7 linked regions of the Coturnix japonica genome follow. The main gene of each other region encodes a partner of the protein of the gene in region 4 in a complex. Links are inferred from orthologs where the notes say so. Each region holds a gene or a part of one and is shown on either strand. Other genes may lie near its edges.

What was found.
Region 1: TAF1C (region 4) and TAF1D share a complex: the UniProt entries of both Homo sapiens proteins name them as parts of the transcription factor SL1/TIF-IB complex. The link is inferred for Coturnix japonica from reciprocal best matches to the Homo sapiens genes TAF1C and TAF1D.
Region 2: TAF1C (region 4) and TAF1A share a complex: the UniProt entries of both Homo sapiens proteins name them as parts of the transcription factor SL1/TIF-IB complex. The link is inferred for Coturnix japonica from reciprocal best matches to the Homo sapiens genes TAF1C and TAF1A.
Region 3: TAF1C (region 4) and POLR1C share a complex: the UniProt entries of both Homo sapiens proteins name them as parts of the pol I pre-initiation complex. The link is inferred for Coturnix japonica from reciprocal best matches to the Homo sapiens genes TAF1C and POLR1C.
Region 5: TAF1C (region 4) and POLR1B share a complex: the UniProt entries of both Homo sapiens proteins name them as parts of the pol I pre-initiation complex. The link is inferred for Coturnix japonica from reciprocal best matches to the Homo sapiens genes TAF1C and POLR1B.
Region 6: TAF1C (region 4) and RRN3 share a complex: the UniProt entries of both Homo sapiens proteins name them as parts of the pol I pre-initiation complex. The link is inferred for Coturnix japonica from reciprocal best matches to the Homo sapiens genes TAF1C and RRN3.
Region 7: TAF1C (region 4) and POLR2L share a complex: the UniProt entries of both Homo sapiens proteins name them as parts of the pol I pre-initiation complex. The link is inferred for Coturnix japonica from reciprocal best matches to the Homo sapiens genes TAF1C and POLR2L.

What each region holds. Positions count from the first base shown.
Region 1 is NC_029516.1:166,172,744-166,177,161, forward strand, and holds the start of TAF1D (TATA box-binding protein-associated factor RNA polymerase I subunit D), read left to right. Parts: upstream 1-1,496; 5' UTR 1,497-1,606; intron 1,607-1,926; 5' UTR 1,927-1,939; coding exon 1,940-2,166; intron 2,167-2,251; coding exon 2,252-2,708; intron 2,709-2,835; coding exon 2,836-3,011; intron 3,012-3,429; coding exon 3,430-3,490; intron 3,491-3,805; coding exon 3,806-3,919; 3' UTR 3,920-4,418. Other genes in the region: C1H11orf54 (ester hydrolase C11orf54 homolog), read right to left, coding at 1-58. UniProt on the Homo sapiens protein: Component of the transcription factor SL1/TIF-IB complex, which is involved in the assembly of the PIC (preinitiation complex) during RNA polymerase I-dependent transcription.
Region 2 is NC_029518.1:15,725,551-15,729,139, forward strand, and holds the end of TAF1A (TATA box-binding protein-associated factor RNA polymerase I subunit A), read left to right. Parts: intron 1-344; coding exon 345-465; intron 466-1,628; coding exon 1,629-1,789; intron 1,790-2,639; coding exon 2,640-2,761; 3' UTR 2,762-2,974; downstream 2,975-3,589. UniProt on the Homo sapiens protein: Component of the transcription factor SL1/TIF-IB complex, which is involved in the assembly of the PIC (pre-initiation complex) during RNA polymerase I-dependent transcription.
Region 3 is NC_029518.1:27,798,694-27,803,248, reverse strand, and holds the start of POLR1C (DNA-directed RNA polymerases I and III subunit RPAC1), read left to right. Parts: upstream 1-1,665; 5' UTR 1,666-1,708; coding exon 1,709-1,777; intron 1,778-1,850; coding exon 1,851-1,922; intron 1,923-2,018; coding exon 2,019-2,126; intron 2,127-2,217; coding exon 2,218-2,350; intron 2,351-2,910; coding exon 2,911-3,030; intron 3,031-3,245; coding exon 3,246-3,398; intron 3,399-3,533; coding exon 3,534-3,683; intron 3,684-4,209; coding exon 4,210-4,326; intron 4,327-4,550; coding exon of another isoform or gene 4,551-4,555. Other genes in the region: protein YIPF3, read right to left, coding at 249-341, 931-976, 1,058-1,164, 1,239-1,445, 1,516-1,578. UniProt on the Homo sapiens protein: DNA-dependent RNA polymerase catalyzes the transcription of DNA into RNA using the four ribonucleoside triphosphates as substrates.
Region 4 is NC_029547.1:8,327,061-8,331,482, forward strand, and holds the start of TAF1C (TATA box-binding protein-associated factor RNA polymerase I subunit C), read left to right. Parts: upstream 1-1,509; 5' UTR 1,510-1,601; coding exon 1,602-1,733; intron 1,734-2,107; coding exon 2,108-2,201; intron 2,202-2,360; coding exon 2,361-2,467; intron 2,468-2,553; coding exon 2,554-2,649; intron 2,650-2,732; coding exon 2,733-2,806; intron 2,807-2,874; coding exon 2,875-3,122; intron 3,123-3,199; coding exon 3,200-3,310; intron 3,311-3,397; coding exon 3,398-3,521; intron 3,522-3,601; coding exon 3,602-3,673; intron 3,674-3,762; coding exon 3,763-3,898; intron 3,899-3,986; coding exon 3,987-4,115; intron 4,116-4,218; coding exon 4,219-4,393; intron 4,394-4,422. Other genes in the region: TMEM8B (transmembrane protein 8B), read right to left, coding at 1,174-1,354. UniProt on the Homo sapiens protein: Component of the transcription factor SL1/TIF-IB complex, which is involved in the assembly of the PIC (pre-initiation complex) during RNA polymerase I-dependent transcription.
Region 5 is NC_029518.1:13,944,326-13,948,836, forward strand, and holds the start of POLR1B (DNA-directed RNA polymerase I subunit RPA2), read left to right. Parts: upstream 1-1,551; 5' UTR 1,552-1,596; coding exon 1,597-1,749; intron 1,750-1,828; coding exon 1,829-1,996; intron 1,997-2,123; coding exon 2,124-2,270; intron 2,271-2,415; coding exon 2,416-2,548; intron 2,549-2,862; coding exon 2,863-2,999; intron 3,000-4,470; coding exon 4,471-4,511. UniProt on the Homo sapiens protein: Catalytic core component of RNA polymerase I (Pol I), a DNA-dependent RNA polymerase which synthesizes ribosomal RNA precursors using the four ribonucleoside triphosphates as substrates.
Region 6 is NC_029529.1:40,796-44,568, reverse strand, and holds part of RRN3 (RNA polymerase I-specific transcription initiation factor RRN3), read left to right. Parts: intron 1-1,386; coding exon 1,387-1,450; intron 1,451-1,955; coding exon 1,956-2,025; intron 2,026-3,546; coding exon 3,547-3,645; intron 3,646-3,773. UniProt on the Homo sapiens protein: Required for efficient transcription initiation by RNA polymerase I (Pol I). Required for the formation of the competent pre-initiation complex (PIC).
Region 7 is NC_029520.1:8,951,755-8,954,404, reverse strand, and holds POLR2L (DNA-directed RNA polymerases I, II, and III subunit RPABC5), read left to right. Parts: upstream 1-1,507; 5' UTR 1,508-1,590; coding exon 1,591-1,685; intron 1,686-1,828; coding exon 1,829-1,937; 3' UTR 1,938-2,121; downstream 2,122-2,650. UniProt on the Homo sapiens protein: DNA-dependent RNA polymerase catalyzes the transcription of DNA into RNA using the four ribonucleoside triphosphates as substrates.

The sequences.
Region 1 (4,418 bases), on a different chromosome or scaffold from region 4:
CTCCAGCAAGCTCCTCCAGGCTTGGAACATGAAAAGCAAACTTCTCTACCTTGGCCATTGCCTGCTTGGTTCTGATTTCTTCAGGTTAGAAATTACAGTGTAACACACTGCAGAAGTGACTGATCTGTCAACAAAGATAATGGTTTAGTAATTAAAAACACACTGCTTTCAATATGCAATTTATCTGTCAAATTCACCCGAGAATACATAGATAACAGTAGAATTGTTATTATACCATTGAGGGAAAAACTGACAGCTTCAAGATTAGTGTTTTCTCATGGTTTAGTGGCAGCTATTAGTGGTTTAGTGGCAGCTATTAGTAATATGTGGATGGTTGTACTGAATAATCTTTCAGGTCTTTTCTAACCTTGGTGATTTTATGATTCTATGTGCTTTGGAAGCAGGTGTGCCTACCAGCTCTGCAGCTGCTTCAGAGCATTACATCTGTTAGTCCTCAAACTTCCATCTCAGTACAGACAAAATATGTAATACGCTGAACCTAATTCAAGGGACAGGTCAGTTATCTGTCCTTTGTAAACCCAAAGCCACGCTTTTCTAAGCACAATAACTGCCTTACCCGGTCTTCACTACCTTAATGTTTACTTTTCCAGCATTGGCTATGATGGACTTTCAACCTTGGCTCCCAGTTTCTTATAGGCACGTGTTTCCAAAGTGGAAGAAGGTTGTAGTGCATCTCAAAGCCAAACAAAGGCACCAAAGCAGCAGCAAGTTGTACAGCACTGGACTCTATATCAGCTCAGAGCCTTTCACAGCAAGCTTTGTTCAGAACAGAAATGTTGGAGCTTCTTTTGAAACGAGCTATATTTCAGTCATGCAACAGCATAACCTGCTACGAGGGCAAACCAGCAGCTCCAGGCACAAGCAGCTGGTTACATGCTACCTATAAACCAGCCCCAGAAATCATTAACTCCTTAGGCACACGCCTGCTGCACGTAACAAAATAGGAACCTTTCATGGAAGAAAAAGCGAGACTTTGAGCTCAAAGTTCAGCTACCTCAAGTTCTGCCTGTAACAAGCAATAGAGCAAGAAAGCAAGCTGTCTATGTAGAGTGATTTCCATCTTAGCTGGGGGCTCGTCCGCTTCTATGGGCGATTCTCCCTTCTGTGAAGGAAGCTGTCACAGGAACGCTGCAAACGGGATGGCAGGAAACAACCGACACGTCGAGACACTGCGGCTTTTCTTTTCCAAGCAGGAAAGGGCAGAAAACGGAAAGGAGAAGTTAATGGCTGGATAGAAACGCTTCATAGCGGGGGGCTGGGGGGAGAAGGAAGCACAGCCAGAGCCACAGAGCCAACAGGGACAGCGCCAACGTGCAGATGAACTCAGCAGAGAAGCGAGAAGGGAAATTCAGGCCACGTAAACGAGGGTAAAAAGAGTCTAAAAAGAGTCCCGGAGCCAAACCTGCAGGAGCCACCCTCTGGAGACCCACAGCGAGCGGGAACCGCAGCCAATGCCCACAACCTGCGGCCGCCCATCCCCGCCCCCCTCACGGCACTCCCCGCCCCGTCCTGCTCTCGCGAGAGCCGAGCGCTATTTAAGCTCGGGGGCGGCCATTGCGCGCCCTTTCCGGAGGTGAAGCGTGAGGTGAGTGTTGGGTTGGTGATGGCGGTGCGCTGAATCCGCTGCCATCCGCCGTGTGAGGACCCGCTGTGAGGCTGGGGTAGAATCAAAGCACATCCTGTCGCTGAGCGATTCCTAGACGGAGCGCAAGGAAGGCCCTGGGGCGGGTGGGATGTGGGAAATGGGCTCCTCATGGCGGCCCGGGGCTGTGGTAGAGCGGCGGGAACCGCGCAAAATGTCCGCCCCGGGATGGTGGGCGGGAGGGGGCTACTGTGAGGGAGACACATACGTTCCTTGGATGTGAAAAGCTTTGCCTGGGGTAAAACATATTTAATTTCTTTCAGGGCAGATTAAAACATGAGTGATACAGATGAATCCCACACCTCTTGTTCTGATGATCCTGATGCTCAGAGTCTCGTATCCACTCAGAGGCGAAAAAGATCTAAAATACCTGAGCGTGCAGTGAATGCAAGGAAGAGACGTTTGTGCTCGAGGCAGAAGGACGCCACTCCTGAGGAGTCTTCAGATGAGACTAGTAGTACAAATACATCTTCATCTGAGGTGGATAGCAGCGATTCAGAAATGTGAGTTACCTGGTTCCTTAGAATCACTTACGAACAAGACTCATAAACGTATGTGCTCTGTTGAATGTACACGTTTCTTTTTCAGTGATGTTTCAGCTGCTCGGGGCAGCAAACGCTCTAGGAAATGCACTGCTCCCTCTGCGGAGCAAAAGAGGAGATCGCAGCCTTCAAGGAAACAAGCAGGAGCTGATGCACGAGTGTCTGATGGTGAAAGTCCTGACTCTTTGCTCCCTGAGAGCCCGGTGAGGCCACCTGAACCCTCCCAAAGGAGGAAATCCAAGCTCGATTTGAAAGCCATTTTTGCCTATCACTTCAGAGGAAGGAAGTTTAAAACTGCTGCGCACCGAAGATACAGGAGCGGTGTTTCACGGAAGACAAAGAGACGCTCGGAACCCCCAAAGAAGCGTGGTGGGAATCGGCCCATGACAGCCCCGCCTCAGGAGCGAAGGAGAAGGCTTCGGGATCCAGGCTTTCAGTTCCCTTTTGTTGAAAAACATTATGGGAGGAAACATATTCCCGTAAATATGGTTCTTAGCTATGAGGTGAGCCCTGTGTTTTGTGGGAGAGAACCAGCTGACCTAAGGCTGTCATTTAATGTTACAGTCTGGTTGATTATATAAATGGTTCATTTCTTTGTTTGTATTTAAGATCTATTCCTTTTTTTTGCAGCAAGCAGCTGCGAAGGGATATTTCCAGTATGTTGAAATGCTTAAAGCTGAAGAACACCTCAAAAAGGCTTTGAAATCCCTTGAAGCAAATGAAGACTTAGAAAGGGAATGTCTGACAGCGCGGAAACATAAATATTTAGATGACAAAGGCCCCATTTCTCCTATCCAGGAGACAAAGTAAGTTCATTTTCAGTAGTATAAAAGTTGCTGTTTTGTTCTCAACTTAAAGTCTGTGTGTTCAGCATTGCTGTCTTTATTGTCTGGCACGTGCATTATATTAATTGGTGAAATACCTCTTGGATTTTTCTGTAACTCAGTAATGGATTCTGTTGGCTTAGCACTGCTGTGTTGTGTGCTCTCTCCTCATCCTTAAAAGAGCAGAGAGAGAAAATAAGTAACAGCTCATGGCTTTAGATAAGGATCTTGTTCCACAGGCTCTCAGTGTAGCCTCATGTAGAAGTGGGAGCATCCCAGACCTGTAAGCTGTAGCGTTTCCATATGCATTATGAGGAAGTGGTGCTGCATTAGGAGAACAGCTTGTTTATGCTGCGCTACTGTAGAAGTACAGATTTGATTTGAATTTCCTGCCTTTCAGCAATGACGATGATAACTGCTTGGGCTCTGATAATCCAGAAGACTTTGATGTCAGAGTAGTGGTGAGTAAACATCCATAATTTGAAAACTATAACCTGTTTTCTCTTTTGAGGTGTTAAATAAGTAACAGATGATGCTTTGAGTACTTAATTCTTGAGCTTGGATCTGGAATTAACCAGTTTGTGTGGTTTTGGTGTGTAGTACAAGAGGAAATTGGTTTGAGAGAAGTCTGAGCTCTTTGGAATTATGTTGGGATGTGCGGAAATTGGGCAGTTCTCTGAAGCGTCCATAAAACTTCCTAAAGGAAGTTAGTAATAAATTGGTACTTCAAGTGTCTCCAAACCAGACTTGAGAATGCTGTTTTTTTTTGTTCTCAGGACAAAAGCTGTTTCATTATAAGCAGCAAAATTCCCAACAAGAAGAAGAAATCAAAGGCCAAAACAAAGCGAGCAAAGTCAGCTGGAGTGATTGAAGAAGAATGCTGCTGCTAAGTGATCCTGCTGAAATAGCACCTTCCGCAGCCTGGCTTGTGGAACCAGCAGGTCACAGAGCTACAGGACTAAGAGTTCCAGCTCTTGTAATTAAGCAGTGTAGAATAAACTAATTCTCCTAAATCCAATATCATAATCTCAAGCTGCTTTAAAACAACTAGCAGTGTGATGAAAAGTTCTATTCCCTTCTTCCCCTCCTCAGTCCAGAGTGGGGTCTTACGAAGGTGACTGAGCAGAGATAGAAGCCCTTCAGCACAACAGGGACTATCTGCTGATCTTGTAGCATGAATGGGAACTTGTTGCGGTTGCTCAGACTAGATGTAGGAGTGGGGTTCTGGCAGGGTAATGCAGTGAGGTGGGTGTGGAGTCCTGCTCATTCTGCAGTTCACGTGATGAATGTTTCTGTTCAACTGCTGAGTGACTCAGAAATGAACTAAATTTCAATTCTGATTAGAACTGGACCTACACATCTGAACAGTGAGTGCACTGCAGCTGCCAA
Region 2 (3,589 bases), on a different chromosome or scaffold from region 4:
CTTCCCACAGGAAGAACATGTTGAACAACAGCACCGGCTGGAAGCACTGATTACAACAGCAGCAACTGTTGTAAGGAAGGCAGTGTGGGTTAAGTGAGTGGTCTTGTGTGCCTCTTTGAGTCAGCAGCATTTAAGGAGGGTCTCTGCAGTGAAGTGTGCTCTAGACCCATGGACACTTCCTTGGCATTCTCTCTTGGAAGAGGCAGAAAGCAGTGGGGGGAGCCCTCAGTAATAGGGAAAGCAGCGGTATGTGGGAAGGCAGTTTGGAGAATGTTTTCCCTGTTGCTTACTAGTAAGTTCGTATTAATCCAACTGATTCATTTATCAGCCTAATTTCTTTCCAGAGAAACAAAAAAGACGTCGACTGGGGCTAGAAGTTATTTTTGCAGTCTTGGATTATGCTGGCTGGAAGGAAAGTGTAAAAGCATGGAGTTGTTTGGCGAGACAGGTGAAACAAATTGTAATGTGAGTGTAACTGATGTAAGGTGCTAAAAGAGGAATGTATGTGTCAAATCTCCTCCTGCGGGCAGTTGACAAAGTGACTCTTCTGTAGTCTTTGTCTTTCATGATGGCAAGTGGAAGAGTGGGCTGGCCTGTACTGAGATCTGTGGCTGTGCTTGGCTGCAGCATGCTTTCAGTGGCAGGAAAGAAGAAATTATTACTGAGAGAAATTCTTAAATTTCCAGTATTATCATTAGCTGAATTACCAGGTGAGGTGTTTATGCAGAAAATGCTGTTCAAATGTTTGGATAACATTTACTGCCTGTCACTGTTCTCCTTCCAGGAGGAAAAAAAACCCAACAACATTGTTTGGTCTTCTGCTATTAAACATATATTGGTTGCAGCAGATTTGAGGATGAGTGTGCTGCAAAAGGGATGTGGTGCGTTGTGCTGTTGTGTCGTGTTCTTCTTTGATAACTTTGGTGGTAACTTCTTCAGAATACAATGTGTTCTTAAAAGCCAAGTCAGAGTGCCTGGGGACTGATAAATACTTGCTTGTGTGTTGGGAGGAGGACTCTGTTTTCAGGAGCTCCATCTCCAGGCAATCCATGCTCAGAAGGTCTCTAATGTCTGGGGTTTTTTTTTCCCCAAAAGTAGAGGTTTTAATTTTTCTTTTAAGCCTTGTATACTTACAATGAATCAATTTAGTACCGCTTGACCCATTTTGCTGTTTTATTGCTGCCTCTACATACTCAGAAGGCCCGAAAGTTAATGGATTAAAACTGAGAGTGTTGTTGCATATAGTTAGGAAAAATGGTACAATACTTCAACTTTGCCTGTAGTTTTGCTTTTGAGAACACAACTTCAGAGTACCTTGAAATATACAGGGCATCTTAATCACTTTATAGGAATATCACTTCCCTGTTTTCAATTGTAAAATACTGTAAGGTCTCCACTGCCGAGTTAACTCCACTGAGTTAATGGAGTAAGGTAAGTATATGAAATACAGTAGTGTTTAATTATGCATAGATTTATCCAAAGTTTTTCTTTTAAAAAGAAAATTGCTGCTTAAATAGTTCAGCCTGCAGTGTAGTGTCAAAGTCTGCCAGCACACCAAGCTGATTATAAAACTCAGTGCCTCCTCTTTACTATTTCATCTCAGTTTTTCTTGTTTTACCTTTTTGCAGTTCTGAGAAGCATCTTAACTGGATTAAGAAGGAGTGGAACTCCAGAAAGGACTGGTGGCCAGCCTTCCATTTTAGCCGCTACTTAGCAAAGAGGAATTGGCAGGAAAATGAAATCCTTTCGTATGAAAAAGCTCTGGTGGCTGGAGTTCTACTAGGAAAGGGTAATACTAAATGTTCTTTCACACTGTGTACACTAGAAAAAACACCTAGTTCTAGCCCTAATGAGATAAGATGCAGCTGGTCTACTCCCTGGAAGAATGCTGTTTCTTTCTTCTAGGAAAGACTGTGGTCTTTGAAGTTCTATGGGAGAAAAACATTTAAAATGGTTTGATATTCCTCATTTAGAGACATACATTGCATAACTTGCCTTATCCCAGGTTTGAGTTCAATTTTATTTGGCCTTGTTGAGCAGTCACAATACTACAGACTCTGTTTATAACCTTGAAACCACAATTTCAAAAATATACAGCAGGCTCCTGAGGCTACAGAAAGTTTGCTCACTGAGCTACAGTCTAAGCAATGTCTTAGCAAATACTGAGGGTGAGGTGATCCTTAAGGACCTTGTGAGTGATGAAGCATAGAAAAGAGGAGGAAGGAGGTCTTGAGTGAAAATAGTCACTGTCCAATAAAAAAAAAAATGAAGATCAGGACTTCTATGGTGGTGTTCACTGAAACATTGATGAAATCAAGAAGTGGTGACGAAGTTCAGAATGAGAATATGGTGTGGAGAGCATAACTTATCTATTAAGTTTGGGCCTTTAGTTAATTAGAAGCTTTATTCTTTCAGTTCTGTACCTTACCTTCCAGACTCTGTAGAACAGTTTCTTGAGTTGAAAGCCTGTTTAGGTCTCAGTAATTTGATGCTGCAATTATGTTGATAATGTGTATGTCTTTGATTGTTTTATTACCTTATTTAATAGGTACTTGCATGCTTGTGTGTTACTTAAAAAGCAGAAGTGTTTTGTTTGCTTGTATGACAAAGCTGACATGGCTTTTTCTTCTCTTGCTTAGATTGCAAGTACTTTAAATACGTGTCACGCCAAGGCTGCAGAGCTCAGGTGAAAAAGTTTCGGACTCTCAAGAAATTTGTGAATAAGCACAGTAGTGCCTACCTGAGCATATCTGGTCTTTGAGATTCCTCTGTACAACTGTGATTAAAAGGTGTCTTGATGGTCTTGCTGCATTCTTTTTACCCTTTTGAAACTGGCTTTTTTTTTTATTGGCATTGGTCTAAAAGCTGCTCTAAAGAGATGAGCTGTCAACTCCAGTAGATATTTTTTATATATATTTCTGTTAAAAGCATTTGGTTTGTATTTATTTTGTAATAAAATAATTATGTAAATCAACAGATGATGCTGAAGAATTTCTTTGCTATCAGTTTTAGATTTCTCTGAAATACAAACAATCAGTAATTTCAGGCTTACCTTGAACTACTTGGTAATTATACTATAGAATCTGTGTTGGTGATACTGTGGAGTGAATCTTACGTTCAGTTGTATGGATGCTGATTTAAATGGCTGCTGGAACGTGGCTCAAAATCCACTCAGGGCTGGATGTGGCAATCCTAATTAGTAGGCTGTCTTAACCTATGAACAGTGTGTGATGCAGCATGAAAGCAACTTTCTCACTATACATGTTGCGTAACTTACTGTTTATGACTGATTTCCTAAAAATTTTTCTTCTTGGCCACCTGGGCACACTGTCAGCTCATGTTCAGCCCAGCATCAACCAACACCCCCAGGTCCCTTTCCTCTTCACAGTAATTCAGCCCCAAGCCTTTAGTGCTGCATGGGGTTATTGTGGCCAAAGTGCGGGACCTGGCACTTGGTCTTGTTGAGCCTCATCCCATTCACCTCAGCCCAGAGATCCAGCCTATCCAGATCCCTCTAAAAGGCCTCCCTACCCTCAGGCAGATCAACACCTCCTTCCAACTTGGTGTCATCTGCAAACTTACTGAGGGT
Region 3 (4,555 bases), on a different chromosome or scaffold from region 4:
TATACAAACAGCTGGCTTAACAGCAGGCAGGTTGCCCCACGACCTACACCCCATCTCTCCCAGCTACAGAGCATTGGGACTTTCTGATGCAACTTTCCTCCCCTCTCCAAAACCAAAAGGATCTTCCTCAGATCAAATCTGCTTTTCAGCTCTTGTGATACAGAAGAGGTTTCCTCTCCCTTTCCAGTGTCATTATAGCAATCCCAAACCCGGTCAAAGCACAAATGAATCACTGAGACTCGCCATACAATGATAGTGTCCGAGGTCTTCATCCCATGCAACAGGATGGCCACCAGCGTGAAGACCAGCATGAGGGGTCCGTAAAGCTCACCTGCAATCTTCTACATGTAAAGAGAGAGATGAGGCTTAGTTAGTGCTCCTGTCTTCCAGGCTCTCCACCCTGAGAGACATAACGAGCATCTTGGAGACTTTTATCACCCGAGGAGCATCTGCAAGGCCACTGCTGACAGAAGCCACACAGAACAGACTGTGATGAGTCAGAGTGGTGTTCAACAGGATGCAGAAATGGGCAAAGTGAGGTCTAGAGTTCTACAACTGTACCAGCGTTAAGGGTAGCAGGAAGGTAAAGGCAGCGCTGGCACAGGCTGTGCAGGGCAGCGGTCACAGCAGTGAGCTGGCTGGAGTTGAAGAAGCATCCGGACAATGATCTCAGCTATATGGTCTGATTTATGGGTGGTGCTGTATGGAGCCAGGTGAGCCTTATGAGTCCCTTCCAACTCAGGATGTTCTATGATTACAATTCTATGAGAATGGGGTTTGGAACAACCATAGGAAAGGGTTTACTGATACTTTGAGGGAGGTGAACATCTAACAGACTTGGATCCTTAATAACAGGCTAATTACATCTGAGGGGTCTCTGTGGAACAGTCACTCAGGCTGTGGGGTCTGGTTCAGTGAGAGAGAACTCACCTGTGGGAAACTGATCATCTTGACGGGCACCATGGACTCCAGCAACCTGCATTACGGCACAGCGGGGAACGACATCAGGACAGTCATTAAGAAGCAACAGATCCCGTGCACCCGCTGCCCTGCCCACCTGGTGCGCACTTGGACGGGCTCCACGTCGAAGTATGGCCGCAGGATGTCGATGTTGGCGTAGAGGCTGAACGCTTTGGACGCCTGTCGCTTCCCCACCTGCCACATCTGCGGACAGAACGGTACGTGCAGCGGCGGGGCCGGGGCCGGCGGGGCTGTTGGCGGCTCGTGAGCCCACTCACCTGGTCGGCCACCTGCCGGCCCAGCTGCCCCTGCAGCCCCTTCATGCCCAGGAACTCGCCGTCCTCTTCCCCGCCGGCCCCCGCCTCGCCCTCCGCCTCCTCGTCCTCCTCCTCCTTCATGCGCTGGTGCATCTCCCCCATGTCCTCGAAGCTGGAGCCCGACGTGTCGTCCATGTTCTCCATGTCGATGACGGCCGAGCCGCCGCCCTGCTCCGATGCACGGATCGTCAGCGCCCGCTCGGGCCCCTCTGTCCCCCCCCCCGCGGGCCGGCCCCACCTGCACGTTGTCCTCAAAGCCGCCCCACTCGGCGGTGCCGCTCCTGCCGCCCGCCGCGGCCATAGCGCCGGTAACGGGGGACGGCAACGCGGATGTGACGGTCCGGCCGCTCCGTGTCTCGCGAGAGCCGTCAGTTCCGCATGGCCGCCTTACGTGCGGCGGGGCGGGGCGGCGGCGCGTCCTTCCGTCGGCGATGGCGGCCCGGCGCGGCACGGACGAGATGCGGGAGCGCGTGGTGCTGGGCGAGTTCGGCGTCCGCAACGTGCGTGGGGCGGCGGGACGCGGGGCGGCTCCCGCATCACCCCCCGCTGCCTCACGGGCTGCGCCCCCCGCAGGTCCACACCACTGACTTCCCAGGCAACTACCCCGGGTACGACGACGCGTGGGACCAGCGGCGCTTCGAGGAGGTGAGTGGGAGCTGATGGAGATGATGGAGCTGATGGAGCTGCTGCTGCGGGGCCCCTTGTTCGGCTCCGTCGTGACGCGGCGCGGTTCCCGAGCAGGGGTTCCGCGTGGACGTGGTGCGGGAGGAGGACGGCGTGCTCGAGTTCGACATGGTGGGCATCGACGCGGCCATCGCCAACGCGTTCCGCCGCATCCTGCTCGCTGAGGTACCGCGGGGCTGGGAGACATGACGAGTGGATGGTCCCCGTGCGGTGCCCTGCTTGGCGGCTTATCGCCTCGCTCTGTCGTCCCCCCGAGGTGCCGACCATGGCTGTGGAAAAGGTGTTTGTGTACAACAACACGTCCATCGTGCAGGACGAGATCCTGGCGCACCGACTGGGCCTTATCCCCATCCGGGCCGACCCGCGGCTCTTTGAGTACAGGAATCAAGGTGAGGGGCTCGGGTCGAACAGCGGTGGGGAGGGTGGAGCCCATAACCAGGAGCTGGGGTCACACCGTAGGATCATGAAGGCCATCAGGTCCAACGATCCCACAACATACAGGGACTCCTACATCTGACCAGGTGCTCAGAGTCCTGCCCAGCCTGGCCTTGTAAGTCTGCAAGGACAGGGCATCAGCCGCATCTCTGGGCAGCCTGTTCCAGTGCCTCACCACCCTCATTTTCACCACTCTCACTCAGTAATAGACTTTTTCTTTATCTCTAAAGTAAATCTACCCTCTTTAAGCCTCAAACCGTTTCCCCTTCTCCTATCACAGCAGACCCTGCTGTAGAGTCTGTCCCTTTCTTTCTTGCATGCTCTTCCTAGGTGCAGAAAGGCCGCTTCCAGGTCTCCCTGCAGCTTTCTCTTCTCTAGGCTGAGCAGCCCCAGCTCTCAACCCATCCTCGTAGGAGAGATGTTCCATCACTGGGTCATTCATGTGTCCCTCCCCTGGATACACTTCAACAAAGCAGAATTCACTTCCATAAAGATACTGTTTTGCCATTTCCAGGAGATGAAGAGGGGACGGAAATTGATACTCTGCAGTTCCAGCTGAAAATAAAATGCAGCCGGAATCCTCAGGCAGCCAAGGAATCGTCTGACCCAAACGAGCTGTATTTCAATCACAAAGGTGAGAGCTCCTTGTGCCTGCCCTAAAAGTAGGTGCAGCTTTCTGCTTTTTCTCTTGTTCATTTTCTTCTTTCTCTCTCTTGGTGTTTTGCCTTGTGAGCAGAGACAGCTCATTTCCTCACAGTATACATAGCTTGCTTGTGCCATCTCCTATTCAGGTCAGCAACCTGTTTTCTGAGGCAGCAGCTGGCTGATGCTCGTGGTTTCTTTTGGCAGTGTACAGTAAGCACATGACATGGGTTCCCTTGGGGAATCAGACAGACCTCTTTCCGGATGCTGACTTCCGACCTGTCCACGACGACATCCTTATAGCACTGTTGAGACCTGGGCAGGAAATAGATGTGCTCATGCACTGCGTCAAGGGTGTAGGTGAGTGCTGGGTCTGAGCTGGGGAGTGGGTGTGCTGGTGCTTGGACTCGAGCACAGCTGTGTGATGGGAAACACTGGAGAACTAGCTTGACCCCAAGGCCTGTCCTCATCCTTAATTCTGAACTCTTTGTGCAGGTAAAGATCATGCCAAGTTTTCTCCTGTGGCCACAGCTAGTTATCGACTGCTTCCTGACATCACTCTCCTGCAGCCTATCGAGGATGAGGCAGCCGAGACGTTACAGAAGTGCTTTTCCCCTGGAGTCATTGAGATCCAGAACGTCAAGGGTACTTTCTTTCCAGCTGTAAAGTGCCTCGTTCCTAACAAGTCTTAGCAGTGACTGAATAGAGACAGTAGAGATTGTAGTCAAACCTTGTTGGGAAAATAACACATTGCGATGTTGTCTTGCTGATCAACAACAGTTGGTGCTGTTTTGAGCCTGGTTGTAGTGGCTGAGTGGCTGTCACACACAAATGTTTTTAGCAGTGAACTGAGATCTCCCTGAAATGCTTATGTGTTGCATGCCTGTCTGTAGAGCCCTGTGCTACTGTTAGGTGTCTGGGTAGCGAGCTTGCTCTTTGTAACAGCTGAGCACGGGGAGGACTTGTGTCCTGCCCAGGAGCACATACAGGCTTTGTGTTTGGCTTAGAACTGTTCGAGGAAATGAATTCTGCCAAGCTGGAGTTTCATGTTAGGGATGTGCTAATTATATGTGGCTTTGCTGCCTCTGCTGCTTGAGGGGTAAGTACTTTTTGTGACCCCAAGGTGCTCATCTGCTGCCGGTGCCCACCTTGTTTTGTCTTCTCCTTTTAGGAAAGAAGGTGGCAAGAGTAGCCAACGCACGGTTGGACACGTTCAGCAGGGAAGTCTTCCGACACGAGGGTCTGAAAAACCTGGTGCGCCTGGCCAGGGTGCGAAATCATTACATCTGTAAGTAGCCTGTTTTGTGCAGAGCAGAGTGCCCAGCCCGATTCTGCTTTGTACAAACAAGCAGGGGCTGGCCAGTGTGCATACCTTGGTCTCAGTCTTTCCCTTCTACTTGGCATCGTTATTCTTCCTATGTTTGTATTCCTCTGGGGAGCTACTGAGATAGTGGTTTGGTGCAGCTTTGGGGTAGGATGTGTTTGTGCTTCTTGCTGGCTTATTTCTTTCAGCTGCA
Region 4 (4,422 bases):
ACCGAAGCTCCCTGCCAGCTGGGGTCAGTGAACTGGCAGTGGACCTCAAAGAGAAAGAGATGGTGAACGTGCTCCCAGGACATGGCATGGGGAAAGCACGCAGAGCTTCCTGACCCCATTACACTTCCTGGAGCCCACTCATCTGAGGTAAAGTGAGGGCACACAGGTGCACAGGGAGAGTCAGGCTGGAGCCCTGCGGCAGTGAGGCCACAGCACAGGCAGAAAAGCAGGAAGATGGAACAGAATTTCCTATCTATGAAAGAGAGAAAGGAGAAAAGCAAGAGCGCCTCTGCCCCAGGCCAGAGGCCGAAGAGAGGCGACCTCCTCTCCCAGAAGGGTCAGTACCACGGACAGCTCACCTGATGTCGGGCTCAGGACCACGGACAGCTCCCCCAGCCGCCCCATAGGGCCCCATAGCGCTTCTACTCCACAGCTCGGCCCCCTTCCTCCGTGATCCCCCATACACAACACCGCATACCCCTCCGCAGCCCCCAAATGAAGGCAGCTCCAGAGCCCGACAGCACACTCATTTCATCACGTATTCACTCCAGTGTCCCCCCACTCATCCTCACTGCACACACATCCCCCGCACTGCATGCATCCCTGCTGCCCCACTTCACAGCCCTCTGTCCAGGTGACACGCTGCAATTGCAGATCCCCGTAACCCCTGACCATGAGTCTGACCCCTCTCTCTGGGTGTCCCTGTGCACTTACACCACCTGTGTCCCTCCAGCACGCACACCTCTGAGCCCTCCCTATGTACCACATTGCACGCGTGCCCCACAGCCTGCTTATTGTCAAGCATAACCACCGAACACACATCTCCATGTCCCATTATGCCAACACCCCACTGCCATCTCCCATCACACATGAATATGCCCCATTGTGCTCACACGTCCTGCCCCACTGCCCACGCACCCTATACTCAGTTGCATGGTGTAATGTGGGGTACCCCACACATCAACGTGCCCTGCTGCACACTGACCCCACATCTCGCTGCACACACATCCCGCACCCCATCACACACACTGTCATCCCACGGCGGGCAGATGCTGCGGACGGTCTGCGCTCCATCCTCACCCCATTAATACAAGCACACACCTCCCCCCTTCCTCACCCCCATCCCCCACGCAGCGCTCAGCTCCCCGACCCCCTCGGCCCCTCGACACTCACCGGCGGGCGGCGGCGGCCATAGGAGGAGGAGGAGGAGGAGGGGCAGGAGCAGCAGGGGCAGGCGGAGGAGGGGTATCGGTGTGAGCGGCCGCCCCCGCCCGCCGCCCCGCCGCCCCATCCCACCGCGCCGGCTGCCGAGGGGCGCGCGGCTCCAGCAGCCCCGCCGCGCAGGGGCGACCATGACGTCATCCGTCCCGCCCCCTTTCTCCCTCCCCAATTTTCCTATTGGCGGTTCTGCTTGTCACTCACAACCGGCGCGGCCCCGCTTTCTGCTCGCCATGATACCTCCCACACGCTAGGGGGCGCTGTCGCACTCTAGGCCTCGCCCTTCCCGGTCATCCAACTTCCTACCGCGTCGGGACCGCGTGCGCAGCACTTCCGGTCCGGATCCGGTACCGGGCTCACCATTACCGCCCCCGGTACCGCCCATGGAGTTCCCGGGCGTGCTCTTCCCTTCTTACTTCGGATCCGGCCCCACCAGGGACGAGGGGCGTCCGGCTCCGGCCGCTGGATGGGGGGAGCGGGAAGAGGTGCTGCAGGCCGGGCCTGGACGGCGGCAGGTGAGGAGTAACGGGGGAACGGGATGGGGGAGGCCTGGGGGGCAATGAGTGAGGGGGCAGTGAGGGTATTGAGGGCACTGAGGGGGCTCTGAGGGCACTGAGGGGGCTCTGAGGGCACTGAGGGGGCTCTGAGGAGGCTCTGTGGGCACTGAGGGGGCTCTGTGGGCACTGAGGGGGCTCTGAGGGCACTGAGGGGGCTCTGAGGGTACTGAGGTGGCTCTGAGGGCACTGAGGGGGCTCTGTGGGCACTGAGGGGGCTCTGTGGGCACTGAGGGGGCTCTGTGGGCACTGAGGGGGCTCTGAGGGTACTGAGGGGGCTCTGAGGGTACTGAGGGGGCACTGACCCTCACCTCCATTCCCCGCTGTCCCTGCAGGTGCTGCCGCCGTTCGTGCCCCTCCGCAGCCACGAGGGGGAGAGCTGGACGCCGGCTGAGCCCGCGGCGGTGCCGCTGCTGCCGCCCAACGTGGGTGAGGATTGAGGGGGCACAGGGGGGGCTGAGAATGGGGCTGCCACCTGGTGCTGGGACGCACTCGGCAGCCCCCCCCCCCCCCCCCCCCCCCCCCCCCCCCCCCCCCCCCCCCCCCCCCCCCCCCCCCCCCCCCCCGCCGCCCCCTGCCCCCTCACAGGCTGCTCGGTCCCCAGTGTGACCGCTCAGGATATTCTCTACCACGGTGTCCTGCATAGAAAGCTGCAGACTGGGAAGTCTGGGGCTGCGCTGGACTTTGCCAAGCAGGTACAGGGCTTGGGTGCTGCTGAGGAGACAGGGCTGAGCTCCACCATGACATCACTGCACAGCCCCACACTGCTGTCCCCACGCAGCTAGGGCACTTCTTTGTGGATCATCCTGAGGACGCCTTCAGCTCCCTGGGGCAGCTGCTGCACAACAACTTCCACCTGGGAGACTACAGCCTCGGGGTCAGTGTCCTTGGTGATGCTGAGGGGGGCACTGGTGTACCCCCTCCTTTCTGTTCATAGTGGCACTTCTCTCCTCCCTGCAGAAAGGCAGTGCCAAGGACACAACCATCCGTATGACATCCATGGTGAAGAAGATCAACAATATGGAAGCCAGGCGGTGAGTGCTGCTGGGTTGGGAGGGCGGTGGGCTCCGACACCTACCTGGCACTGATTGTCCCCTCACAGTGGCTGCCCTCGGCATCCGTATGCCAACCACCTGCGCTTGTTCTCTCACCTGTGCCGGGACTGGCTCTTTGAGGTGCCACTGGGACTGCTGGCCGACTGCGTGCATGAAGAGCTGCTGCTACAGTGGACCAGACTGCTCTTCGATGACAGTTCCACAGGGGGAGCACTAGCCTGGCTGCCCCCTCAGGATGCAAGCAGTGACATGGGATGCCTGGTGTACCCTGGCGGGTTGGCCATGAACCACCTCTGTATCCTTTCCTATGATACTTGGGGGACTCTGGGACAGGGGAGCACTGTGTGGCAGTGCCCTTAGCCTGCACTCCAGATTTCCAGAATGTGGTGCTGGAGGAGCAGCCGCGGGCCCAGGGGTTGCCAGTGCAGTTTGAGCTCAACGGGCGCATCCGGCAAGTAGCTGCTGCCCGGGTGGATGGGCAGGGTGAGTAAGCCCTGGGACATGTGCACTGCATACAGAGATAGTGGCATCCCTGCTCTCTCATCTGCCCTCTCTCCTGTCTCCTACTAGACTTTGTTGGCGTTCGCTCTGACTATTACTGTGGTGTCTGGAGGATGTCAGGCAAGACAGGGGCTGCCCCCAGCTCACTGCAGGTCATCCACACTGATGTGCCAGCTTCCTGCCTCACCGTCAGGTGTGTGGTGGGAATACAGAGCTCTGGGAAGGTCCTCAGCTACAAGCCTTCCAATGTAACGCCATGTCTCTGCCCCACAGCCCACACCTGCCTGGGGAGCTGTCAGTCTGTACGCAGAGTGGAGCTGTCTATCTATGGAACATAGAGACAGGGTGAGTTGGGGCTCTGATCCCCAGTGTTTGGTGCTGCAGGAGGCAGGGGTGCCCCACAGCAAGGAAGAGCTCTGTCCTTTTCCCTACAGGCTGCAGCGGCTCCGCCATGACCCCCAGACCTTGTTTTTCCGGGACCACTCACCCTGGCGCTGGAGTGACTTCACTGCTCACCCGCGGGTGCTGAGCTGTGCTGACCGCACTGGCATCCTGTGCCTGGATACTCGGGTGAGCATGAGAACGGGGTTCAGGGTGGGCTGTGGGGTGACCTATGTCAGCCCCATGGTGCTGACAGCACCCTGTTATGCCACTGCAGGCCCCCACTAGATGCCACTTCAACTTCTTCAAGGTGGGTGAGGAAGCCAAGTGCCAGAAGGGTGAACGCGTGGTACTGCCCATGTACCTGGGTAGGGCTCACCCCTGCCAGTACCTCGTTGCCACCCAGGTGAGTCCTCCATGGCTCAGTGTCCCCAGACCTCCCCACCCACCTCGTGCATCTGGTTTGGATGCAGGTGGGGGGCACCCTGCTGAGTTTTGCCCCCTTTCAGTTTGCCGTGTACTTGCTGGACGAGCGTTTGCCGCTGGTGCCTGTGCTGAAATGGGCACACATGATGAAATTCCCCCCTCTGTTCGCTGATGTTGTGCCGGGAGAGTCTGGAAGGAGTCATAAAGTGCTGCTGGGCACCTCTCATACTCAGGAGCTGCTGTTGCTGCAGTACACAGGTGAGAAACCAGGTAGGGGAACGCAGATT
Region 5 (4,511 bases), on a different chromosome or scaffold from region 4:
GGGAGGTGGTGATTCAGGGACACTTTGATCATTGGTATCTATTGAATTCTTAAAGATAAGCAACAGCTGCTGGAGGAAAACAGCAGGTACTGCCTGCCACTGTTTACCACCTGCCCTCAGCATGCTCACTGAGATAAAGCACGGGTGGGAAATGATAGAGGACAGACAGCACAGTGTCTGAGCTCTTGTCCCATGTATTAGCCAAGCAGGAGGGGACATGCGTGTGGCTGAGGCCTGAGCACTGCAGCTGTTGCAAGTAATGCCCGCAAAACCTTCAGAGACTTTGGGTGGTGTTTTTTTTTCTTAGAAAAATGCAAAACCAGATGTTTTCTAGCTCCTTTCAGCTCAAAGGGCAGTAGAATAGGTCTTAGTCTCTTTCCTAAGCTTTTGCAAAGGATGGTGCTAGGTTTCAAGAAGATACCCACCATATGGCGGGCTGTCTCTAGACTTAGTTCAGCATCAGCCATGAAGGATGTAGGATGCAGGTGCCCTGGCTGTTGACCAGCAGGGACTGGTCCAGCTGGATTCTGGGTTTCTGCAGACTCCCGTGTGGCAGCAGCAGCTCCTGTGCTCCTACCGAAGGCCATGACAAACACCGGAGAAGTCTGTGGAGGTCTTATATGCTGCTTCACTCAGCTGCTGTGACCTGTTGTCATCAGTGCCCTTTAGGATTGCTTGCATGTCCCCTGTCCTATCATTTAGTGTTCTCTGCGTGCAGCTCTCCTTGTGGGAGCTGTGCCATGCCATACATGCGTTAATGGTGGTGCCTCATTCCCACTGTCAGCTACTGCAGAGAGACATGGCTCGGAAAGCAGCCGATGCTGGGGGTGCATGGGACACTCCTGCCATGGCTCTGGGTCTCCGTGCTGGCCGCCTGCACGTCAGCATGCACGTGTACAGCCGGCAGGGCTCCCAGCTTGTGCTTTTCCAGCCGCCGTGTCCATGTCTGTCCTCAAGCATCATTAAAACAAGCAAATCTCCATGGCTGCGGTGTTTCTTTGGGACAGTGGGGTGACAGATCCACTGATGGAGGAACCAGTGCGGTGCAAGGAGCGCATCAAGCCCCATGGCAGTGGTTTGGTACAAGAGCAAGATAAAGGCAAACCAACAGGGCTACGTGCCAAATACCTGGGGGGATTTTGGGGTGTGATTTGTAGGCCTGATAATGGTGTTGGTGCAGGCAGGAGCTGCAAGCCTGCTCCGTAGAGATAAGCACCTCCTGCTTATCTGTGTGTGTGCCACCACCATGGGGCCGTGAGGGCGGGCAGGCTGCTGGCACACTGAGGGACTTGGGGATGCAGGCAGTGAAGGATGCGGCCCAGCGGGATGTGGGCACTGAGGGGATTGGTGCTGAGGGCTGCAGCACAGCCAGACGCGGTGCAGGGGGATGCTGTGCTGTGGGACACGAGCACTGCTGTCATGGCACAGGGCGCTGTTACATGGGGCGGGCACGGCACTCAGGAGCGATGGCTGCCATGGCCGTGGGCGGGAAGCACTCGGCAGCACGCGCTCCGCCTCGCGACCGTCCCGCCCCGCCCCGCAGTGTCCCGGCAGCCGGCGGGGCGGGGCGGAGCGGAGGAGGCGCACGGAGGCAGCATGGCGGCCGCCATGGAGCAGGGCATGGCCCACGAGCCGCACCGATTGAGACGGCGGCAGCGGCCCCGCAGCGGAGTACGGCGAGACCTGACCGCCGCGCACATCGAGTCCTTCAACTACGCCATCAGCGAGGGGGTGTACCGAGCGCTGCAGGTGCCGGGGGGGGCGAGCGGGCTGCGGGGATGGCGCTTGGTGGAGCTCGCCCTGACTTGTGGGCTGCCGTGTGTTGCAGGACATCCCGCCCTTGGAGCTGGCGCTGAAGGACGGCCGCGTGGCGCTCACCGTGGTGGGGGTCGCCATCTCGCCGCCCTTGGTGCCCAAGGGGACGCTGTGCCACGAGGTGAAGGTGTTCCCGGCCGAGTGCCGCGGGCTGCGCAGCACGTACCGCGGGAGGCTGACGGTGAGCGGGTTTCTTACCTCAGCTACGGCTTCGGGAAGCGTTCAGAGAGCTGTGTCCTGCGGTTATTATACCGGGAACAAAACGAGTCCAGCTCAGTCTGCTCACTGTTGGCTTTGTATCGTTTTAGGTTGACATCAGCTGGTCAGTGAATGGCATTCCACAAGGGACCATTAAACAGCCTGTGGGGTATATTCCAATCATGGTGAAGTCCAAATTGTGCAACCTTTATAATCTTTCTCCCCAAGAGCTCATCCAGCACCACGAGGAGGAGGAGGTAACGAGGATCTTGTGTATCAGGACAACATGCAGTATATTAGGCCAGTGTTAGGCTTGAGTGTTTTTATAACATAGTAGAAGCGTTTTCTTATTTTACTTGAAATTATACTTCAAGCGCATTAAAAGCCTTTTCTTTCTGACAGGAAATGGGGGGCTACTTCATAATTAACGGCTTAGAGAAGGTTATTAGAATGCTGATTATGCCCAGGCGCAACTTCCCTCTTGCACTGTCGAGACACAAGTGGAAAAACAGAGGTCCTGGCTTCACAGAGTACGGTAAGCTAAAGGCCTTGCTACCACATCCCTCCAGAAGCTGCTCATAAACAAACAGGGATGACCAACTAGAGCTGCTATTTTGTTGTTGCTGTTGCATGGTGTTCATGTTTTCAGGTAAATTGTACTACATAGGAAACCAAGTGGTTGGTAACACCATAGTGATGCATGAGGCAAGTGCTTGCCTTTCAGGTGGTTTCTGAGCTGCCTGTGCTGATCTACTGAATCATCTCACACCGGCTCGGACATCTCACATAAGTGCTGTCTGTATTTCTTGCTTAGCTCATGTTGGCTTTTGCTTCTGTTAATTCCTGCAGGAATAATGATGCACTGTGTTAAAGAAGAGCACAGCGCAATAAACATGAACCTTCACTACCTGGAAAATGGCTGCGTAATGTTGAACTTCATTTTTCAGAAAGAGCTGTTCTTCCTTCCCTTGGGATTTGCTCTAAAGGTAAACAAATAATACACATTACACTCTTTCTGTGTTAAATAAATGCAGAAGTTTCACTAAGCATTTCTATTTTCATGAGTAATGAGAGGCAGCTGATGCCATGTTAAGTATTTTCGGTCATATTTCCGATGTTGGTTGAAGAACTGTAGAGCAAACTGAGCCTGCATGTGTGATGCAGTGTGCAGGTGGAGCAGAGGAAGTGCATGCAGGCTTATGCCAAAGTATTATGGCTTCCTGCTAATGAATGTTGTGGATTAATAGTTCGTGGAGGATGTAAGGGCTTGTAACCTAACCAGAAAGATCCTAGGAGTATTTTTATAATTCATTGACCATTTAAGAAACTGTTAGGTCAGCCTCGACTATAACAGTGTTAATCATTAAAGTCAAGCTCTCATATAAAAGGAAACCAGTAAACTGGTTCTCTTCTTTTTTTAAAGGAGAAAAATAAAATGCTGTTTTTGTTTGGAACTGGAAACACTTAAGAATTGGAAGACAAAACCAGTAGTGCCAGTTTGAGCACATTGGGTGCAGTTAAGCTGCTCTTTAAGTAGCAGGGAAAGCTTGATGTTAGTCAAGCCTTTCCAAATTTCTCCATTAAAAACAGCAAAGCCTGGGTGCTTCAGCTGTGTGTTACACAGCAGCTAAGGGTTAGGGCAAATTGTGGCCTGTGGCACCACAGCTTGTCTGGTCTCAGGGAATTTACGTGTTCTTTCAGCCTCCTGTGTTCAGGACTTAAAATTAGTCAGCAGAGATAGGTAATTACCCTGTGTTTTAATAAGCAAGGGCATTATACTGACTTTAGCTTACAGGATGTCATAAGCTAAGCAGGCTGCACTGTCTAAAGTTTGAATTCTTCCATGAATATCATGCCATGGGTTTGCATGCCCCCTTCATCAGCCGTTTAATAAAGAAATCTGTCTACGTGTCTTTTTCATGCCGTTCCCATTTTTTTTTTTTTCTGTGAGCTTCTTGAAGGCTTTTTAAATGTAGTGGAGAGACAGTTTGCTTACAGATGGGGGAGGTTTGTCAGCCAGTTACTGGTGAGCAGAATGGTCACTTAAACCCTGACATAAACAACTAGGAAACATTATAACACCAAGTGCTCAGAACACAGGATTTAAGCATGAGATGTAGAAAATGAATTGCTGAAGCTGAAGTGGATTGTAATAGGCTAAGCTGTCTTTTGACTTCTGTGGAGATAAGGAGTTAACTTGAGACAAAAGAAGCCTTTTAAGATAGAGGATGCAAGTTTGTTTGTTTGTTTTTCCAAGGGTTTTGTTAGACTGGAACCACTTGTGATCATCACCTCATTCATATCCACTGTGCTGCTCTTGAAGTACATTAATCCCACAGTATTTTTCCATTTCCAGAGGACCGAAAACCTAAATCATTGGGGTACCCAACCTCTGCTGTTTTATGGCCAGATACTGCCACGACTGTTCTTCTGATCTGATGTGCATCTGTCTTTCAGGCATTAGTTAATTTCACAGACTACCAGATTTTTGAAGAGCT
Region 6 (3,773 bases), on a different chromosome or scaffold from region 4:
CATCCTTAAATTACAAAGTCAGGAATTTTTTTATACTTGAATCAATGGTGTTATGAGTTAATCCTCATTACTTGCAAAATACTGGTATTTACTGGTGCAGTATTTTTAAGATTCAAGCTGAATGTTCAGGAGAGCATTCTTAGTCCTAGATAGTGTCAAAGCCAAAGGATAGGGAGGAGTTGTCTGTTTTCATTTTACTTACTTCAATAAAACTGGTCTGTTTGGGAAATTCTTGAGGCTTTTTGTTGTCTGCTTGTGGTAAACTCAAATACAATTGATATAAATAATGAAAACTATGTGTTTATTGATTAGACAGATTGAATTCTTACAGGATAATTAACTATCTGCATCTTTGTATCTTGAATGCTGTATTGAATTTCAGCTTGGGTTGACATACCTATTCCTCTGGTGTTTGCTTGTGGCACTGTTTGGATTCAAGGGGAAAAAAAAATCATAGAATCACAGAATGGTTTGGGTTGGGAGGGACCTTTAAGATCATCTCATTTCAACCTCCCTGCTGTAGGCAGGGACACCTCCCTCTTGACCAGCTTGTTCAAAGCTCCATCCAGCTTGGCCTTGAATGCTTCCAGGTAGGGGGCACCCACAGTCTCTCTGGGCAACCTGTTCCAGTGTCTCTCCACCCTTACAGTAAAGCATTTCTTCCTAATAATAGCTAGTCCAAATCTTGCTCTCTTCCAGTTTAAAAACATTTCCCAGAATTCAGGTGGCTCATCTCATTATTGTTAAAGAAGCCTAATTATTTGTGTTCTTGTTTTAACTCTTGCTAAATAAGGCATAATTTTTTATTTTTATCTAGTTTCTCACTTGATTTTAATGTATAGTGTGCCCCGGTGGTGCAGTGGTAGGAATGCCACCTTGCAACACTGGGGCTCGGAGTTCTAATCCCCCCTGTGGCACAAGAGGTAGAAGTGCTGCTCTGCTACACAGAGGCTCGAATCCCGGGGGTTGGACTCGATGATCTCTAAGGTCCCTTCCAACCCGCACGAGACTATGATACTATGATATTTTCTAAAATTTTTTTTTTTTTGGGGGGTGTAAATTTTCAGTTTCCGAGTTAGGCATTCAGCGTAAGTAGTATGGCAACAATACCTGGCTTTGGTGGTGGTGGCAAATTAAGAATTTGTTAGCATAACATGAATTGTACTTGGAGTTAATTTTCATAGTTACTTTAGTAGTTGGGCAGTCCAACTTAAAAACAAAAAACAATGCAAAAAAAAAAAACCAAAAAAACCCTGACAACAAAACCCAGTGAATGCCGTCTCCTTGGGGATCTTTAAAATGTTTAACTGACTTGAACTGTTTTAATTGATTCCTGAGTTAGTTTTCTGCAACCAAATGGATAATAGCACCTTCTTCGTTCTCTAGGCCTTTCTGAAAATTTTGATACATGCCACAGAGCATTGCAGACTGTCGCAAGATATGTTCCTTCGTAAGTATTTAATTCCTTGGTTTCTTCTGCTCTTTTCTTATGACAATAAAGCTTGGATATAAAGCTCAAGAACATATATATATATATATATAAGGTATATATATAAAAATATATATAAAAATATATATATTTTTTTCTTCTCCATATTGGAAATGCAATACTTAATTTAATTGAATGACTCTTCCTAATGCCCAGTAACTGATAGGATGTTATATCCAATCGTAAAATGCCAATAGACATCAGCAGCTGACAATCCTGTTAATAGCAATAGGAAACACAAGGAAAGTCATGCTTATAGCAGCTGACTTGAGGTAGCTTTTAACAAATCCACAGTAAAAGTTTACTGCCTGTTGTCTCTGCAGTAACAGAACAAATGTTATGTAATCAGTTATCTTAAAATAACATTACTGTGAAGTAAGAATAAACTGATTCCAGTCTGTTTTTGTAGTGCTGGAGCTTGTTCTCATGATAACAAACTGTATTTTTTTTTTCCCCCTTAATGCAGAACACTGCAGTTTCTTATGCCAATACTTGTGGAAAAATTTCCTTTCATTAATAAATCAGAAAGAACTCTGGTAAGAACTGTGAATATTACATCTATTTGTTCACTCACTTCTTAATATAGGAAAACACTCTACCGTATAATGATTGATTTGGTGGTATTTTATGCAGATTTTTGAATGTGTCGTTTAAAACTCTTGTAATTTTTTAACTATGGAAACATATGTCCAGGTGTGCCTGTATCATGAAAGGTTGTCCAAACATGCTTAAGTTCCCTGTGCATAAGCATTATGCAGCTGTTTAATGAGATAATTGCATGTCTTTTTCCACGTGATTGTTTTCTTAATCAGTGCACAAGATGGCCTTCTTTGATAATAAGTCTCAGAGTTGTGTAGTAAGGATAATGTGGAATACCTGTCTCAGTGTAAAAATTAGAAAGTATTCTTTGGAAGAACAAGGAATTTGATAGGCAGACAGAAAGCAATGGATGATTTAGATGAAATCTATAGGATAGGTTATTGTGTAGTTTTATTACATGTCTGTTACGATGCTCCTGTGTGGTGGAAAGCAAGCTGGAGACTTTGAAAAGTTACTGTTCCTGTATGGTCTTTATTTTCACTCTTTACAACTTGATATGTTGTCATTTGCTTGCTCTACTCATTAAAGTCAGATGGAGCTGTTTTGAACCTCTCAAGAACTACTTCTTCCCTCCCTGCACTGAATACTTGGCACTTCTTGCTAGATTTTTTTTTTTTTTTTTTTTTAAATCCAAATAGCTTTGGGCATCAAATCTGTATCTGCAAAATGAGGTAGATGTTGCTCAAAGGATGTTAAGGGATTTATTTATCTATTTATTTATTTTAAGTATTTCACTGAGATGCGCATTGTGGAGAAATTTTTTCAGGGTGGGACTCAAGTGGAGCATAATTGACATGTTGACCGTGCATTGTTGCTGAATATTTTCAGCTTATAGATTGTCATTAAACTGGTGCTGTCTGTTATATGCGCTGAGCAATATAGCCTGTTGAAAAATTGTGTGTGTTTGTGTAATTAAGGGTTGCATTATATTACATACTTACAAAGAGACTGTGGTGCACTTAAATGTGTCTTTTTAGCTGCTTGTATGTATTAGCTTGACACTTCTACTCTATAAAGTTGCACTTTTGCCATTTGCGTTTGTATATGTGTGGGAGTGCATGTTCACTTACAGAACTTGTTGGTTCTAATCTGTTTGAATTGTAATCAGAAAAACTCTAAGGATGTTTAGCTGTGGTACTTAGAATTGTCTGTTTATTATAGTAACCAGAAATGAAGATCTCTTGGCCTCGCTTCAAACAGTGCTGCTAGACCTGATTCTAGAATTTTTGAGTAATATGCTTGTTGTTTTCATGTTCTTGGGAAGGTTTATGCAAAAAAAAAATCATATGGAAATTGATGACTTATGCTTATTCTGCTGGAGATACTTGGAAAAAGGTACTTTTCACCTGTATCTGTCTCTTTAAATGACAAGTTAGGAAATATATTTTGTAAAAATCCTTGACATCCTAGACTTTCAGTTAACATTCTTATAGATATCTCTTAATTTTGTGTTATAGGAATGTTATGTTCATAACCTACTACGAGTTACAGTGTACCTTCCAACACTGAGGCTTCAGATTCTGGAACTTATTGTTGAAAAGCTGCTAAAGTTGGATGTGAGTTTGCTCTGTATAGTCTTTCAAAGAAGAATTACGTTAAAATACTCTTCAGTATTAAGCTTAACAAAAATTATGTTCCAGTAGAACTCACGATCATCAGAATAGGGCTGTTGTGGTTTAACGTG
Region 7 (2,650 bases), on a different chromosome or scaffold from region 4:
ATAACAATCTGCAGGAGGTTTCTCCACCCTCCAAGCCAAGCCGTGCTGCTTGCACACAGCTGAGTGCAATCACTCCCCGGGGCTGCAAAAATCGCTGTCTTTTCATTAGGAAACGTTTGCAAAACCTCCTTCAAACAACCTCGCCGGTTAAAACGAAACTATTTGCTCCTCTACAGTTCAAGTTAGGTCTGCGCGGAGGGTCAGCAACCCAGCGGTCCAAAACACAGGCACGAAAGGCGTATTAACATAAGCTGTGCATTAAGACTTTATACGCCTGACAGTAATGGCTCTGCGCCGCGCGCCGTATCAACTCGCAGATGCTCCAGCAGCAAAATACAGTATTTTGGGTGCATCCCCGCTCTGCCCAAGGACAACCGTGAAGCAAGAGGGCACTAAGGACCGACAGCGCTCGGGGTGACGCTTTAACCCAGTCTGTCCCGAACAGCAACGTGCCGCCCTCAAGTTACAAGCATCGCATAGCGCAGCACTCCGCGCGACGCTCACACGGGAGGATCGCACGCGGCTTCACGACGCATCCCCCGCTGCAGCCCAACTTCCCCGGCTGGGGGCAGCCAGTAAAGCTGCAACGCGACGCTCGCGGTGCCACGGCCGCCTCCACCCTCCGGGGAGCGGGATAGCGCCTCAAGGACGGCTTATGCCCCGTTTGCTTTCGCTGCGCGCGGCTCGCCGACAGACCGAGGAACGCTACAGCGGGCAGCCCTGAACCCCCCCACATCACCCCCCACAGCCCCCAGACCCGGAGTTCAGCAACTCCCGACTGACCTGCCGCCGCCACGGGACCGCTAACCTCGCTTACCCCGCTGACCACGGCAGCGCTCCGCAGCCCGGCTTCCTCCAAATGAGCGGGCAACGCCGCGCAAATCGGCGCCGAGCGCAGCTCACGGAGCGCAGCCCCTGCCCGGCTCCTTCCCCTTCCAAAGGGGAGCGAGGACACGGAGCAAACCGCCCCAAATTGGGGACGCCAACACAGCCGCGAGACGGACCGCGCCTGGCGCTACCAGTGCGCGCACCGGGAAGGGAAAGAAAAGGGAGGAAAAGGGAGGGGAGTGCGACGTGCTGCCCCGTCCCACAGCGCTGCCGTGCCCCGCTGGTTGGCGCCGGGCTGCAGCCACCAGTTGCGCTTCCACCCCGCGCGGCTGCGGTACCTCGAGCAGGACGCGATGAAGAAGTGCCTTCTGCAGAAGTCCGGGTGTAAAGCAACAAGTGAGAGCGCGGAAGGAAGGAAGGAGGGAGGGAGGGAAGGGCACGGCGCCTCCTCGGCTCGGCTCAGCCCGCCCCGCCGGTGTCTCCGCTCTGCGCTCCGCCGGCCCCGGCTGCCACCACGCGCCGCGCACGCGAAACGCGATCAGCAGCCCGCCCCGCTCGCAAACACTATTGAGCCGCGCAAGGAGCCGTAGGGCGGCCGCTACCATCCGCCGTCCTGTGCGGGAACGGGGGAGCTCCAGCGCCGCTCTGCATCCTCACGGCTGAGCAAGAACGGCTCGCACCGCCCGTGTCCCCCCGGTGCAGTGGGAGCGGCCGTAGGGCTGCGCTCGGGCAGCTGCAGGAGGAAGCGGCGCTGTGCGAACCATGATCATCCCGGTGCGATGCTTCACGTGCGGCAAGATCGTGGGCAACAAGTGGGAGGCGTATCTCGGGCTCCTGCAGGCGGAGTACACCGAGGGGTGGGTGTCATATTAACAGCACACGCTAATACCTTGCTTTAAACTAAGCTCAGAGCAATCATTGCGTTGCTTAGGAGCACTTACGAGCGGTTCTGACTCGTTTTGTATTTATTTCTTTTAATCGTGTTGTTATTTGTTAATAGAGATGCCCTGGATGCCCTCGGATTGAAGCGCTACTGCTGCCGCAGGATGCTCCTGGCACACGTGGATCTGATTGAGAAGCTGTTGAATTACGCACCGCTGGAGAAATGAGAGTTGATTGACCCAGCCACCAGCTTCTCCCAAGGAAATAAATGAAGGCCGACATCCACTTCACAGCTACAGCTTACATATGTAGATGTTTCTCTTTAATTACATACAGGTTGTTATTGGTTTCTTTTTGTGAACTTTAGGATGCTTTTGCCCGTAAAAAATAAATGTGTTTTATGAAATACAATCATTTGTCTATGTAAAATGTTGAACTAGAGGAAGCCTCTGCCTGTGGCCTTCCTGGAGTTGCTGGGTAGAGTTCAGCATACACTTCCATCTCACTATTTCCTCACAGTGGTCATTTTGAGGTTAGAAATACAGTGTTTGAAGCTAGGGCAATCAAGGGGGGTTAGAAAGAGAGCAAAGTTCCAGGCTCCAGAAACAGCACAGAGGATGTTTGTTTGCTATGAATGAGGCATTACTCTTAGTAGGTTGCAGTGCTAGCGGAGCTCATTTTTTCACTGAAGTCAGCCTATAGTGTCTTGTTAAAAATTGGGGCAGACTGGCAGCTCCATCACAGAAAACAGTAAATCAGGTGGCGCAGTGCTCCTCACTTAGGTAAAATACATCTGAAGGCAATGGATGTGAGAATTAATGCATGTAACTGTGAACAGGATCAGAGTCTTGCCAAACACCTGCACTGCTCTGTTGCTGGTATGAGTGCAAGCTTCCCACTTGTCAGTCATTTCATTGGCTTCATATAGGATGTATGTGCA